3 linked regions of the Astyanax mexicanus genome follow. The protein of the gene in region 2 purifies or fractionates together with the protein of the main gene of each other region. This does not show direct contact. Links are inferred from orthologs where the notes say so. Each region holds a gene or a part of one and is shown on either strand. Other genes may lie near its edges. The genes, in order: sec13, wdr24 and nprl3.

Region 1 (4,537 bases), on a different chromosome or scaffold from region 2:
CTGTGTAATATTCAGACACAGAGACAGAGTAATCTCAGGGTTTAGTAAAGGGTTAAACTGACAGGTCTGCTGTTAACAGGACAAAAGAAAAACATTAAAATATTAAAATAAAAGTTTATTAACAGTAAAAAGTATTTTTTTTAATATTAGTCACTTAATTCCACGCCCGCATGCGCACACAGCCTCTCTTACCGAAAGTCTTTGTCAGTTGAGGTCATTTTTTCCAACAAGTTGGAAATATAATAGGTGATATTCGACATTTTGACTTTTTTAAACTCTAAATTAACACTAATAAAGCGAGATTATGGTCTGAACGGGGTAAAAAGAGAGAGAAGTGTTCAGGTCAGGATCATAACGCGTGATTCAGAGCGGCTCTGTGGCGCAGAGTAAACTCAGAAACACGACACTCAACAGCACACAGATATTAATAGAGCGATATTACTCAGGGCGCTCCAAACGGAACACATGCAGCCTAACTAGGGCACTTAAGAAGCAGGAACTCTCTGCGTAGTGTTACAGTATAGGGTGAGAGTATGGAGGGAATGGGACAGGGCCTGCAGCGTTAGATAGACTGCCACCTTGTGGCCACTATACAGATTACAAGATTAAACATAAAATACAATACAATACAACTCCTGATCTCCGGACTGAGATTTATAAATGATTTTTATTAATTTATTATACTTACGGAAGCTCATTCCCACCACCTAAAATTAAAAAAGAAAAACATTTTTTTTTTAGTATTTTAAAATTCCAAGCCCTTTTTTAAATACTAGTAGACTGTACAGAGACCGAAGCAGGTAAGACAAAGACTATATCAAAATAATGAAATAGTAGTTGACTTAAAAATACAAATTAGAGTTTTTTATATTGTAGGCGGCAGGAATGGGCTTTTAATAAATAAAATATTTATTATTATTATTATTATTATTATTATTATTATTATTATTATTATTATTATTATTATTATTATTACTGTTGTTGTTGTTATTATTTTTTATTAATTTTACTGTTACGCTAATCATTAAACTGCGGGAACAGTTTATTAAATAGTAGTAATTATTTATTGAAGTCTATAATTTAGGACACTGAGAGAACATTTAGAAAAACGAGGGGAGGATTTATTCAATTAAATTGAGATAATCCTTTATTAAATTAAGGGGAAAAAAATATTATTATTGTTATTGTTAGTAGTAGTAAGAGCAGTCGTATTACTACTACTTTTCATTAAACTGGTGGAACAGTTTATTAAATTTAGGTAATTATTTATTAAACTCTAACGCTCTGGATGACATATTTCATGCACCGATCATTTATTAATTCTGTTAATTTCAATGTTTAAACTAAATTGTGCTGAAATCCAGAAGCTTCGGAACTATTATTCGGGTCCGTGTCTCCACCCGGAACCTTTATGAAACCGGCGGTCTGTTTGCCACGTAGAGATCAGTTCTGCCCTTTGGCTGATTTTCTCTCCGGATAAAGTTACTGTTTTATAGTTTCTCTGGATCCGGATTAATAAAGGAAGATGGTGAGTATTAAAGCGCTAATAATCTCAGATTAATCCCGCTGTTTCTGACCGCTGTCTGTGTTTAAACCGGTAAAAAACGCTGTTATTTAGCGGAGAGCTAACAGGCTAACATTAGCACCCGGATTCTGTAATATAATAAATAAAGAGCGTAAAACCGATTATAACCTTTATTTACAGTAAAGATACACTTTTATTAACTGGTTGTGGATTAACTGCTCGTGTTTAAGGTTAAAGATGATCTGAATAAAAGATGATTAGTGTTAAAGTGACTAACGGAAACATTAGCCTAGACTTCCATTCATTTCAATACAAAAATAATAAATAAACTGAAATAAACTAAATGTGTTGTTTTAGCTTTAATTAAACTTTAATTCAGGTTAGTTTTCGTGAATTATAGCTTGTTTATTTAAGTGTACTGATGTTGGATAATTCTTAAGCTGTATATCCAGTATTATCCACGTAGGCATAACTCTGCAGCCAAACTTATTAAATAAAAAAAAATTAAAGAAGTAAATATGGGTTTAAAACAGCCAGAAGTGGCCCGTGACGATACGTTTAAAACTTATGCATGCTATTAGAATTGTCAGATATCATAGTTTAGTGAGTGATCTGGAGTCATATAACTTATACAGAGCTGTGATAAAGTAAGTTATTTGTCGCCTACAGATTTCTTTAGTTTTTGCTTTCTTTTCTGATTTTTTTTCTTTTTCAGCAGACACCACCCCCACTTTAAATGAATAATTAGCTTTATTAGTGTGTATACAGAGGTATAGTTACTGTGATCATGGTGCATATAATAGAGAGATAGTAATAGAAGCAAAATAACAGGCCAAAAAGGGGAGAGACAAAAAAACCTTACAAAATATAGCAAAAAAAAGTCAGATATTAAGGAACAACAACAGCGAAAGTATAAGAGCTACAATAGAGAAACAAATACGTTTTTGTATAATATGTGGAAATAAATAGAGAGAAAAGAATTAGAGAAAGAGATAAGTATCTGCCATTTCTCTCTCTCTCTCTCTTTCTTTCTTTCTTTCTCTGTCTGTGTGTGTGTGTGTGTGGGGGGGGGGATTAGGGCTGCAACTAATGATTATTTTGTTAGTCGACTAATCTGATGATTGTTTTGTGGATTAGTCGATTAGTCAACAATTATTTCTGTCATGTTCTCCATCTCTAAAAACAATAAAAACAGTTACAAATTATATTTAAAAGGCGTTATTTAAAATATTTAAAATTATATTTAAATGTCTGGATGTTGTGAAAAGTGCTGATATTTAGTGAGTTAATTTGAAATCTGTGCATTTTTGGGCAATTTGGGCACTTTAGGAGAGGCAGACGAAGTTAAGACGTTTACCCATCACCCATTGCGCTTCTGTTCCCAGCCCTTTGTGTAATGCAGTACTGTTACAAATGAACACTTAGTCGACAATTAAAATTTGTAGTCGACAAATTTAAATAATCAACACTGTCGATTATATTGATTAATCGTCACAGCCCTGATCGGAACATTCAGGCAGAGGTTTTGGATGTATAGGAGGATTACCTGTGTAATGGTTGTGTTAGTGGTGTGTTGATCATCTGTGTGTGTGAGAGCTTCGTTTTTATTATACTATTATAATTTTTTTATTATACACTTTGAATAGTTAATTCTCCATCACTCATTCCTTTCTGCTCTTGTATTTCAGGTGTCTGTAATTAATACAGTGGATACCTCACACGAGGACATGATCGTAAGTATTGGTTTGGTGGTTTTAGTGAACTTTGGTCTATTTTGTGTGCCTGATTGAGAATTCTTTAATAATCATTATCATCATCTTTATCTTCTCTTTCTTTCTCAGCATGATGCCCAGATGGACTACTATGGCACACGACTGGCGACCTGCTCCTCTGATCGCTCTGTGAAGATCTTTGATGTAAAGAATGGAGGACAGATTCTTGTGGCTGATTTGAGGGGGTAGGCAGTTTTATTTTTTGGAATATTCATTAATGTTGCTATAATATTATTACACTGTAAACCCATACAACCCATAAAACTCAAATGATTTAAGTCTGTTTTACATAAAATTTGATATTTCTAAACAATACTCAACTATTGACTATTTTGAGTTAGTTGAACTGAATTTGTGAGCTCATATACTGTACTATTCAAACTGAGTTCTTTGAGTTGAACCAACTGTTAATAACTGAGTTTAGTCTATTTTGCCATTAACAGCTTCTTTTCCATTGGCTTCTGTCACAATCTATTTGCATACTGGGTGTGTCCAACAGTTTCTGACTAACACTCACCATCAGTGTGTAGTGATTCCCCCTGGGCTACCTTACAAATAAATCAACTTCTCCTTTAGTTGTAATAAATTGATGTTCTAAGTTATGATAACTTAAGTTTTCATCCCCCATTACTTTAATTTTTTGAGGCAACCGGTTTCCTCAAGTTTTTGAAGTAAATTCAACTTATCCGGTCTTACAGTTTAGAGTCATTAGGTCATTTAATCGAATATTTAATTTGAAGTGAATGAATGCTTTCAGCACAAATTTATTCATTGTTCTTGATTGTATTCATCTTTTTTCTTTATCTTTGTTTATACAGGCATGAAGGTCCAGTGTGGCAGGTAGCCTGGGCTCATCCAACCTACGGCAACATCCTGGCCTCCTGTTCCTATGACCGAAAAGTCATTATCTGGAAAGAGGAGAACGGGACATGGGATAAGATGTACAAATACACAGGCCACAACTCCTCAGGTACCTTCTGCTGTGTTTATGATTTAATGGACAATAAATTATTTTAATGGATAATAAATTTACTGTGATAAACAATTTAATATTTTTTAAATAAAGTTGACATATCAGTTCATTCAATAGAATCTTCTCAAAAAGGATAATTTTACCATATAATGATACACCAGTGACCTGATAGAGGTGTTTGCTGGAGTGGTAGAGTTGAGGGGGGTGGAGGAAGGTTCAGTCTCATTCCCCAGGAAGCCCATTCACATTTTCAACAGCAGATCTGGT
Region 2 (4,537 bases):
GAAGCTGTGTCTATAGCTTTTCATTCATGGCACCTGTCTGTCGTACCATTTGTCTAAAGCCAACAGCTTCCCCGAACGTTTCCCTTTTCCAGCAGACTTTGCTTCCACCACAGTCCAGTATTTGCCGTAAATACGCGTCCACACTGCCGGATCTTCACAGGTGTACAGCTGCTCAGCCCCAGACATGCTAACAGACATATAGAGAAATACAGAGAGAAAGAGTTTATTTAGCTTAAATATCTGATTTAGGTAAAATTACAAGCCTAAAAATGAAATGTATGTTATTTTAATCATTAGCTCAATTTTTATGCTGGTCTGACCAAATACGTAGAAAAGTACTCTAATTCCACACTCTAGACAATGCAATAAAGTAATCTCCTAAGTCAAAATAAAATCAAATACTAAATTTCAGCTTGTGTTCAGCTACAATTGAATTGAGGAAATAATATTAAAAGTCAAAAAGACAGCCCTGTAATTACTTTCTGTCTAAACTGTTCCAATTCATACTTTTTTCTTCCCAAAAATCCAATAAGAAAGCAGACTTGTATCAGTTATGTCATACAAGTGACCATCTGCTGTACAAGAGAGGAGGAGGGTACAGTACAGGATGGAAGGTTAATCAAATCAAACTGATCAACTGAATTAATCAGTTCTCAGTAGATAGACATTTGCTTATGTCTGAAACCTATAAAGAACTATTTTCCTAAAATAAAAACTGAAATACAAGGAGGTTATGTAAGGTTAAAGGGGGCTGCTTACTATTCTGGAAAAATAAATAAATAAAAGGCAATGACATGTAAAGGAAACAACAACTTGTACATCACTTTAAATGGTACAGCCTGTTTACATATAAAAAGTTAAGTAAGAACTAAAAAAAAATCAATATTTTACAATTGTTTTACAATATCACTCAGCCCTACTTTAATCAAAACTTTATTTTGCCCATTAATATGTTACTGGTGTTTGCTTCTACATTAAAAAACGTCAGTACAGTGTTTTGTGTAGAGACCCCAAAGTATCAAGGTACAAAAAATATATTTAGAGACTTAAAATCTTCCCTCAGTGTATAAAAATGTATTCAATACATTTCGTTTTAAAATAATTAAAGAGAACACATGAAATAATTTTCTTAAATAAAGAAATATATATATATATATCAGCTTAATTTGAATTTAGAGTGCAGAAGTGCAGAAGGGCGTTAAAACAGAAATGAAACGCGCCCCGCCTGTTTTACTAGTCCGTGTAGCTTATTTAACCTGCAGTAATAAAAGTCACCTTCAATTTTGTCTTAATACATTGCAACAAGTGTGAATTACAGCCACAGTAAAGCCCTGCAGCTCTACTTTCTGATCTATTCCACTGTTTTATTTCAGTAGAGGACATAGTTAAAAACGATATTTAATTATTAAAACAATAAAGATTAATAACTCCACAGTACTATATACAGCAAAGTAAACTACATTCAATTTCTATTAAAACTACATTTACTCAGAATGGGCTTTTAGTCGGTAATACATACCTTAGACTCCCTATATTCACCTAGATAATAAGAAATACTAACAGTATGGGATTATTAGATGTATTAAATTGCTGATAGTATTTCCTCTCGTGTAAAAAGCAGAGAACCCCGAGAAATCCACTTTTAAATTCTGTAACTAAAAACACACACGCGCGTGCTGCACCAAAGCGGAAGTGAATGCTCCACATCCGGTTCCTCTTTCTCCTGCAGGTTTGTTTTGAAAGGTCAGTTATGGGATTTTTTTTAACTCATTTTTATTATCGTTATTATTATTATCGCTGTATAAAACAGAATCAACACCAGCCGAGAAGAGCAGACACACACAGAGATACAGAGCCGGAGCGGCAGGTTGAGTTACTGCAGCGGCGGAGGAGCAGCAGAGAGAGGTTCAGGGATCTGTTTTTACTTCTTCTAAAACTGATTATTATTAATTTCTCCAGTTTCCTGCAGCAGATTAGAGCAGCTCTGCACTCACTTTGTTCCACAGCACTGTGAGGGAATGTGTTCAGTCTGAGAGCTCTTATCGGAAATCTCCTGTTTACTAAAAAAGAGCACATGGACCAACAGACCCGTGTTTACAAATAGCAGAAATTCAAAGACCACGATTCACTTAACTTACACTTACCTTACACTTACCTAACGATTTATTAAACGCAGTTAATTATTTATTAACGCCGAAAAAATATTAATTAACGTTACATAATTCTCTTTTTATAAGTTTTTTTTTATTGTTTATGATATTTTATTACATCATTGGAACGGTTTATTACATTGAGGGAATGATTCATTACATCCCTGTTAAAAAAATCCAGCTAGTAATCCAGAGAAAACATACTCTGTGCTGGTTAGGAGTTAACTAAAGAGTAACTAAACCCCCTGGTATTAGCTGAATCCCCCCACAGCTCAGACTTGAAAAATGCTAAATAAATAAATAAATGAGAGGGGTAGTTTGGGAGTAACACTGGGTGATGTGTAGGTTTAGGGGTGGGGCAGGAGGGACAGGAAGGAAATTCTAAGCAGGGATGGTATGTTTCATTACTTTAAAGGAACACATTTAATCTGTTAATGAAAAACATATTTATCAAATCTGTGTATTATTTTATTAAATCTAAGAAATTATTTATTAGATGCAGTAATTGTTTTTTTTATTTAGAGAATGATTGGTTACATTTTGGGAATATTTTGTTTAATTGATGGAGTGTTTTTTTTTTTATTAGAGGCACTATTTTATTAAACTGAAAATAATAAAGTTATTTAATTCTGGCCATGTTTTATTACACAAGGGAACATTTTAGGCCTCTAAATATTATTTTTGTACCTTAAAACTTTAGGGGCACTATAGACAAGATTGCAACTATTAAACTATTCTCTAATAGTGAAAAACTAAAAAAAAAAGTACCTAAAAACAAATTTTTACTGCATAAAAACACAGATAAACTGCATTGCATTACATTGTAAAAATGCATGAATGTATTTCAGAATATGTTGTTTATATACCAAATATAGGTGGAAATATTAAACACAAATATGTAATGTATCTTAATGGTGACAAATTCTTACTATATTATAAGCAAATACACATTTAATGTGGTTTAGTGGGTACATATAGATGCAACTATATGCTATAAGCATGCAACATGTTTTTTAAAATATTTTACAGGTTTTTTGTTTTGACAATTTCTTTTTAATGCAACTGGGAATAGTGGAAATGTTCATACGGTACTCTGCTCTTTGCCTTTGACAAACTTGGACTACTCTTTTGGTAACAAAACAGTGGAAACAAACATAAGTCATTCATGTTGTTTTCAAACAAACTAAAAACTTTTAAGGACTTGAGGATGGCATCAAATCACTTTTAATCAGTTTTTTACATGCTAAATTTGCTTTGTTCAAAAAAATTACCAAAGGAACATTTAGGAGTGGATAAAATATAACTAAACTAAACTAAGTTCCCTGTGAAAGGTAACAAAGGCATCCTGGAAGCAACTCTCCAACCAATATAGCAATTATTTTAAACAGGACAAAAGTGATATGTCAAAATGACTTATAGTTTGATTCACAGCGACCTATCTTCCCTTTGAGAGGGCAAGTGGACCCAAGCCATTCTAGCAAGATGCCCCTACTGCAAAATAGAGCCACCTGACCCTCTCACAGTATAGGGGTAAAGCCTCCTGACCTGCATTGTTTTCTTAATGTATTCCATTATGGATGCACCAATTATTTATCAACTGACATTAATTAGCTGAAAATGCCAAAGACTAGCAAGTTAAAATACATTTATGCTATTTTATTTATTTATTGGTGAATAAACTGCCTCTCTGTGCTCTCTGCTGCTCAACAATGAACCCCCTTTTCAAACTTGCTGTAGTTTATGGAATAATCTACACTTATTTTCTAAGGGTTTTCCTTTAATTTGTCACCCACTACAACACGTTAATAGAGATTATGTAACCGACACAAGAATAAATTATCATGGTCCCGCACTGACCATGGTTGGTTGCTGAAATTTCATTACAGGCGAATACTAAAAAATCAAAGCAGCTAAACTATTCTCCATTTGTATGTCTCTCACCCTCTACACTAACAGCAAAAATGGCAATACTCGCTATAATATTTGAATAGAAGTGACAAAAATAGTAGTGATAAAAAAAAAAAAATACATATACATTTCTGTCTCTCTCTTTGCCTTTAACAGATCACTGTTTTGCATGGGGCACGTGCAGGGGACTGAGGTGCCCGTGCCTTGTGTTGACATGAGGAGACATGGTGAACCGGATAAACTTCCAGTGATGAACTATACAGTAACTACAGGTCACTAGTGCTGTGTTCATTAAAGCAGAGGTGGGTAACAAAGGCTTATAAAATATCAGATGTTTAAATGTTCAGTTAAAATTCTCAGTAGAAAAAGCTTGTGAATAAATCTATAAATTAAACTAAATGCAAGGGAAAAAAATACAAATTGTTCTTGGTTAAATACTTAATAGGCTAAATAGTGTTGTCATCATTTTTCCATGTGGA
Region 3 (4,537 bases), on a different chromosome or scaffold from region 2:
ATAAGTAACACTGTCTGTTACAAATAATAATTAATATATACCCAGATAGCAAAAAGGATCTGGCCCAGATCCGGCACAATTCAAAACGGATCTGGCCCAGTGTCCTTTTGCACAGTGGGGTAGCAATTATTGTGTACATTTTACTTGCAGTTCATTGTTATTTTATTAATAGTATTGTTGTCCGTTATGTTCTGGTGATAATTACAATATAAATAGCCTAAATGATACATTAGAAACATATTTTTGGCATAATATTTTAAAGATTGTGAGTTTTGCACGTTTTCTGCTGGGAAAGTCTGGCCGAACACATCTGGAAACACCCTAGTTAAGACCACGGTGGTTTAAACCAACATAATCCAGACTTCTGTGGTACCAACAAAGTACGATGGTTTCGGGAAACGGTCGTACTTCAGATGTTAGTTAGTTTAACGATGCATCGTACCACGTTAGTTCAATGCTAGGCTCCGTCGTTGTACGGGAAACGCACCCCAGGGGTGCGTTTCCCGTACAACGACGTGGTATGCATCGTTAACCTAACTAACATCTGAAGATGTCATCTGTCTCCTGATATTTTGATTCAGGCTTTCCAAATATTCTACCGAAATCATGTTTAAATATGGGGCTTTTTCTAGCAATTTTATATTTAAAATTTAAATATAGCAAAACTCTTTACAGTTAGTCTTTGTTAAATAATATATATCACATGAAATATGTAGAAATATGTAGGCTACATAAATAGATATTTTAAAAAAGAGAACATTAATTGTCATTATGAAAAAAAAAACATGGGACGACTAGGATTCGAACTAGGCTTCCATCCGGTGTTCTGTCGAGTTTTGCTACCCTGTCAAACCGTGCTTCCCTAGCGCTTATTTAAATGTAAAATTGCTAGAAAAGGCCCCATGTTTAAACACACTTTCGGTAGGATATTTGGAAAGCCTGAAACAAAATATCAGGAGACAGTTTAGAGTTATAGGGGTGATTATAAGCCTTATTTTTTTCATTGCTCACTTATTATTACTTTCATTATTATCAGCTGTCATTTACGCATGTGTAATACTCAGAAATAATGGCAAGTAAGAGATAATTACCATAAAAATAATAAACAAATAAAAAGTGTTTCACCCATGGGCACTGGTGTTAAGAAGCACATCTCGATGGGTTGCACAATTCGACAGAACACCGCTCGCTGCACCGTCGTAGGCGCTCTGCTGAAACAGTAGCACACATTTCTCAGGTCTCCTTGGTGACTCACGCCGCACTCAAGGAGTCCGGAGATAGGCGTGTCCCTCCGCAGCTTGTTATTATTAACTGCTATGCATCGGTTAAAAAGTGTTTAGCCCAATGTGCCCACAGTTTTAAAGTTGTAAAAAGTACTCCAGTCTTTTCTAACTTGCTGCCTATCACTCTACCTCTCTGCATTTTTAAATCTTCCCACTTTCATTTTTTTAACCAATAACTTAAAAACGTAAGTTGAATAAACTTGGGTAAATTTGAATAACTCACAGGAAGTTAAGACAATATGTTATTTTAAGTTATTTTTATGTAAAACGAAGGAACTTGAGTTCAATATACTAAACTTGTCATGGCAATTGGAATTGAAAAGAACAAATAAGTTCACATAACTTAATGTGGCTGTAATGTTTTACAGTGCAGATTATGTACATATAGACGTAAAAATGAAGCAGAGTAAACAAGACAAAGCAAAAATGTAAACCAAATCTAACTAAATCTATCTATCTATAATATAGCATTTAATGGTGCAGTGCGGAACCTTAAAGCGCAGAGTCTGTTTCCTACGGTAACAAAAAACGTGACTCAAGACACTGAGCCAAGCTAATGCTAACCAATAGCACGTTATTGCATAGCTCGTATTTCCTAAGAAATTACTGTTAAAATAGGGGATTTTAGGCTGTTTTTTTATTGAACACGAATTTAAATAATGAATATATCAGTGATTAAAGTATAGTTAAGGTCTGTGGGGCTGGATGTTAGTTAGCTGTATTCCCTGTGTTTAATCTGCATTAACTGTCATTATCATGGTTTATTGACTAATGTATTAATTTATAGAATTTATTTACTGTTTTTATTTATGGTGATTTATTTAGGCCTTGATGAAAGTCGGAACCTTAAAAGGCAGTGTCTGTTTCCTACGGTACCAAAAAAGTGTGACTCAAAACACTGAGCCAAGCTAATGCTAACCAGTAGCGCATGTTAGCACGTATTTCCTAAGAAATTAATGTTAAAATAGGGGATTTTAGGCTGGTTTGTATTAAACATGAATTAAAATAATTAATATATTAGTGATTAAAGTATAGTTAAGGTCTGTGGGGCTGGAGTTTACTCGGTTTTTATGTTAGCTAGCTGTAGCCTCAGTACTGTATATCAGGGTGTATTTAGTATAATGGTTTATTAATTTATAGTGATTTATTTACTGGTTTATTAATTTATAGTGATTTATTTAGGCTTCATATCGCAGATACTCTTCATATTAAGGTATTATCTGTGGTTGAAGAGCTGGGAGATGGGTATATAAAGCTACAGGCTGGTTTATACAGTAAGAAAGACCCCAGGCTTCTCTAAACCCAGTAAAATGTCCAGGCAGTCCTCGGTAGATTTGGACCCCGGTTCCGAACCCAGACCGCCCGACACCGTGCTGCAGAACCACGGGGAGAAGAACAGCCCGATCAGCGTGATCCTGGTCAGTTCGGGCAGCAGAGGAAACAAACTGCTGTTCAGATACCCGTTTCTCAGAGTGTCCGAGAACATCGCTTCATCCGCAGGTATCAGTACTCTAACCCTAAATACTCTCTCAACCAATCCTGGGGCGGTACGTCCTGATGAGTGCCAGTTCCAACATTACACTGAAAAAAAAAATCTTACCAACTGACCTGTTGCACCTATCCTTTTTTAATTTCTCTAGTTGGTCTAATTTAATTTCTTCTGACAACTTTCGAAATTTGTTCCAAAAAAAAAAGTTATTAAGTTGGTCCAACTTCATGTTTTGAATTGTGTCATGGTATGTTCCCGTTCCTCAAAGTGTCCGAGAACACCGCTTCATCCGCAAGTATCAGTACTGTACCAAAATACTCTCTCCACCAATCCTGTTGCGGTCTGTCCTGATGAGTGCCAGTTCCAACATTGCGCCTATTTTTTTTATTAAATTTTTTGTCTAATTGAAGTTCTGCCGACAACTCTAGAAATTTGGTCCAGTTAAATTTTCTTTTCTTTTTTTTTTGCGATAAAGATATTCTTGGCAATCTGACAAAACATTAAATAAAAAAAATTAAAAAATCCAGCATACACTACTATGAGTAACAGAAAAAAAACATGTTTTAGTTTGCGGGCTATTTCACCAAATTAAACTTTTCTTCATAGATTGGATAACTTTATTAACATTTTAAAATAATGAAAAAAAAAAACTGAATTTGAGGTACCAGTCATAAGTTTAGGCACACCTTTCTTTTTATGATTCTTCTTAAACTGTAATTTTTTTTTACAATGAAAAATATACATTAAAGCTATAAAGGAACAAACGCAGAGCTATTTATTAAACAAAAAGTGTTAAACAACCAGAATATGTTTTATACTTAAGAGGTTTTCTCAGCACCTTGAAGGAAGGAGTTTCTGGAGGTGCTGAACAATAGTTGCTGCTTTTCTTCATGCTGTGTATCTCAAATGTTAAAAAAAGAATGTGTTCTCTGTAAATCTGACTTTTGGAGATTATTTGGAATTAATATTTTACTTACATAACCAGTACTAATCAGACAATACTGATTTGATATGGTTTTTATTTTTAAGCAAAACAGCGGAGTCCCTATGTGTTGAGCAGCACGAGTGATGTCACAGATGACCCGGATGGAGATTCGAGGTGATCATTGATTAAAATATTGAGCAGAATGACTTGTTGCTTTTGATGAAGCTTTGAAATTACTGTGGTGTTTGTGTTGTTGTGGGTTTGGATTGCATTATAACGCTCAACTAAATCATTTATTTATTTATGTTTTATTTTTCCAAAATAGTTATTTTTATTTATTTATTTGTTTGTTAGTTTTTTTTTCCCAAAAATACATCTTAAAGTTTCTTAGTTAGAGATAACCAAAGACTGTAAAAAAAGATGGACGCCGTGTCTCCGTTCCCATTCATTCAGTGAAAATGAAGCCGAAATCTTCCTCCATGTTGGCGATCCTGAAACCCGATTCTGCGCAGTAGAGACCAGAGGGGGGAGAAAGACTGTGGAGAGCAGCCTACTCATTTAAATAACCCCGCCCCTGAGGGCTGCCTCGAGGTCACAGGCTGCAGAGCGGGGCTGAGCGGAGCTGACGGTCTGTTAATGGTCCCGCCCATAACCAATAGAGCTGAATAACGTTTTTAAAACCGAATTCTGTGGGGATATAAAAATTTGACAATATAAGCAGAGGTTAAACTAGCTGCTGCATTTAAATAAAGGAGGTAGAATTACAGTATATTAGAAAAAAACGTGATTGAAAGTTGTTCTGTTTTGCCATTGAAACCTATGGGGATGGGTGGAGTTACA

The links.
Region 1: the proteins of wdr24 (region 2) and sec13 purify together in Homo sapiens (affinity purification with mass spectrometry; 5 studies listed by BioGRID and IntAct, counting the BioPlex papers as one, with this or other methods). This does not show direct contact. The link is inferred for Astyanax mexicanus from reciprocal best matches to the Homo sapiens genes WDR24 and SEC13.
Region 3: the proteins of wdr24 (region 2) and nprl3 purify together in Homo sapiens (affinity purification with western blotting; 6 studies listed by BioGRID and IntAct, with this or other methods). This does not show direct contact. The link is inferred for Astyanax mexicanus from reciprocal best matches to the Homo sapiens genes WDR24 and NPRL3.

The regions. Positions count from the first base shown.
Region 1 is NC_064431.1:1,059,220-1,063,756, reverse strand, and holds the start of sec13 (protein SEC13 homolog), read left to right. Parts: upstream 1-1,385; 5' UTR 1,386-1,525; coding exon 1,526-1,528; intron 1,529-3,213; coding exon 3,214-3,258; intron 3,259-3,366; coding exon 3,367-3,482; intron 3,483-4,115; coding exon 4,116-4,267; intron 4,268-4,537. Other genes in the region: cand2 (cullin-associated NEDD8-dissociated protein 2), read right to left, coding at 193-260. UniProt on the Homo sapiens protein: Functions as a component of the nuclear pore complex (NPC) and the COPII coat. At the endoplasmic reticulum, SEC13 is involved in the biogenesis of COPII-coated vesicles.
Region 2 is NC_064413.1:14,970,613-14,975,149, forward strand, and holds the start of wdr24 (GATOR complex protein WDR24), read left to right. Parts: upstream 1-1,705; 5' UTR 1,706-1,743; intron 1,744-1,756; exon of another isoform or gene 1,757-1,905; intron 1,906-4,214; 5' UTR 4,215-4,360; intron 4,361-4,537. Other genes in the region: uncharacterized protein zgc:112496, read right to left, coding at 47-186. UniProt on the Homo sapiens protein: Catalytic component of the GATOR2 complex, a multiprotein complex that acts as an activator of the amino acid-sensing branch of the mTORC1 signaling pathway. The GATOR2 complex indirectly activates mTORC1 through the inhibition of the GATOR1 subcomplex.
Region 3 is NC_064410.1:64,278,168-64,282,704, reverse strand, and holds the start of nprl3 (GATOR complex protein NPRL3), read left to right. Parts: upstream 1-1,743; 5' UTR 1,744-2,593; coding exon 2,594-2,783; intron 2,784-3,801; coding exon 3,802-3,871; intron 3,872-4,537. UniProt on the Homo sapiens protein: As a component of the GATOR1 complex functions as an inhibitor of the amino acid-sensing branch of the mTORC1 pathway.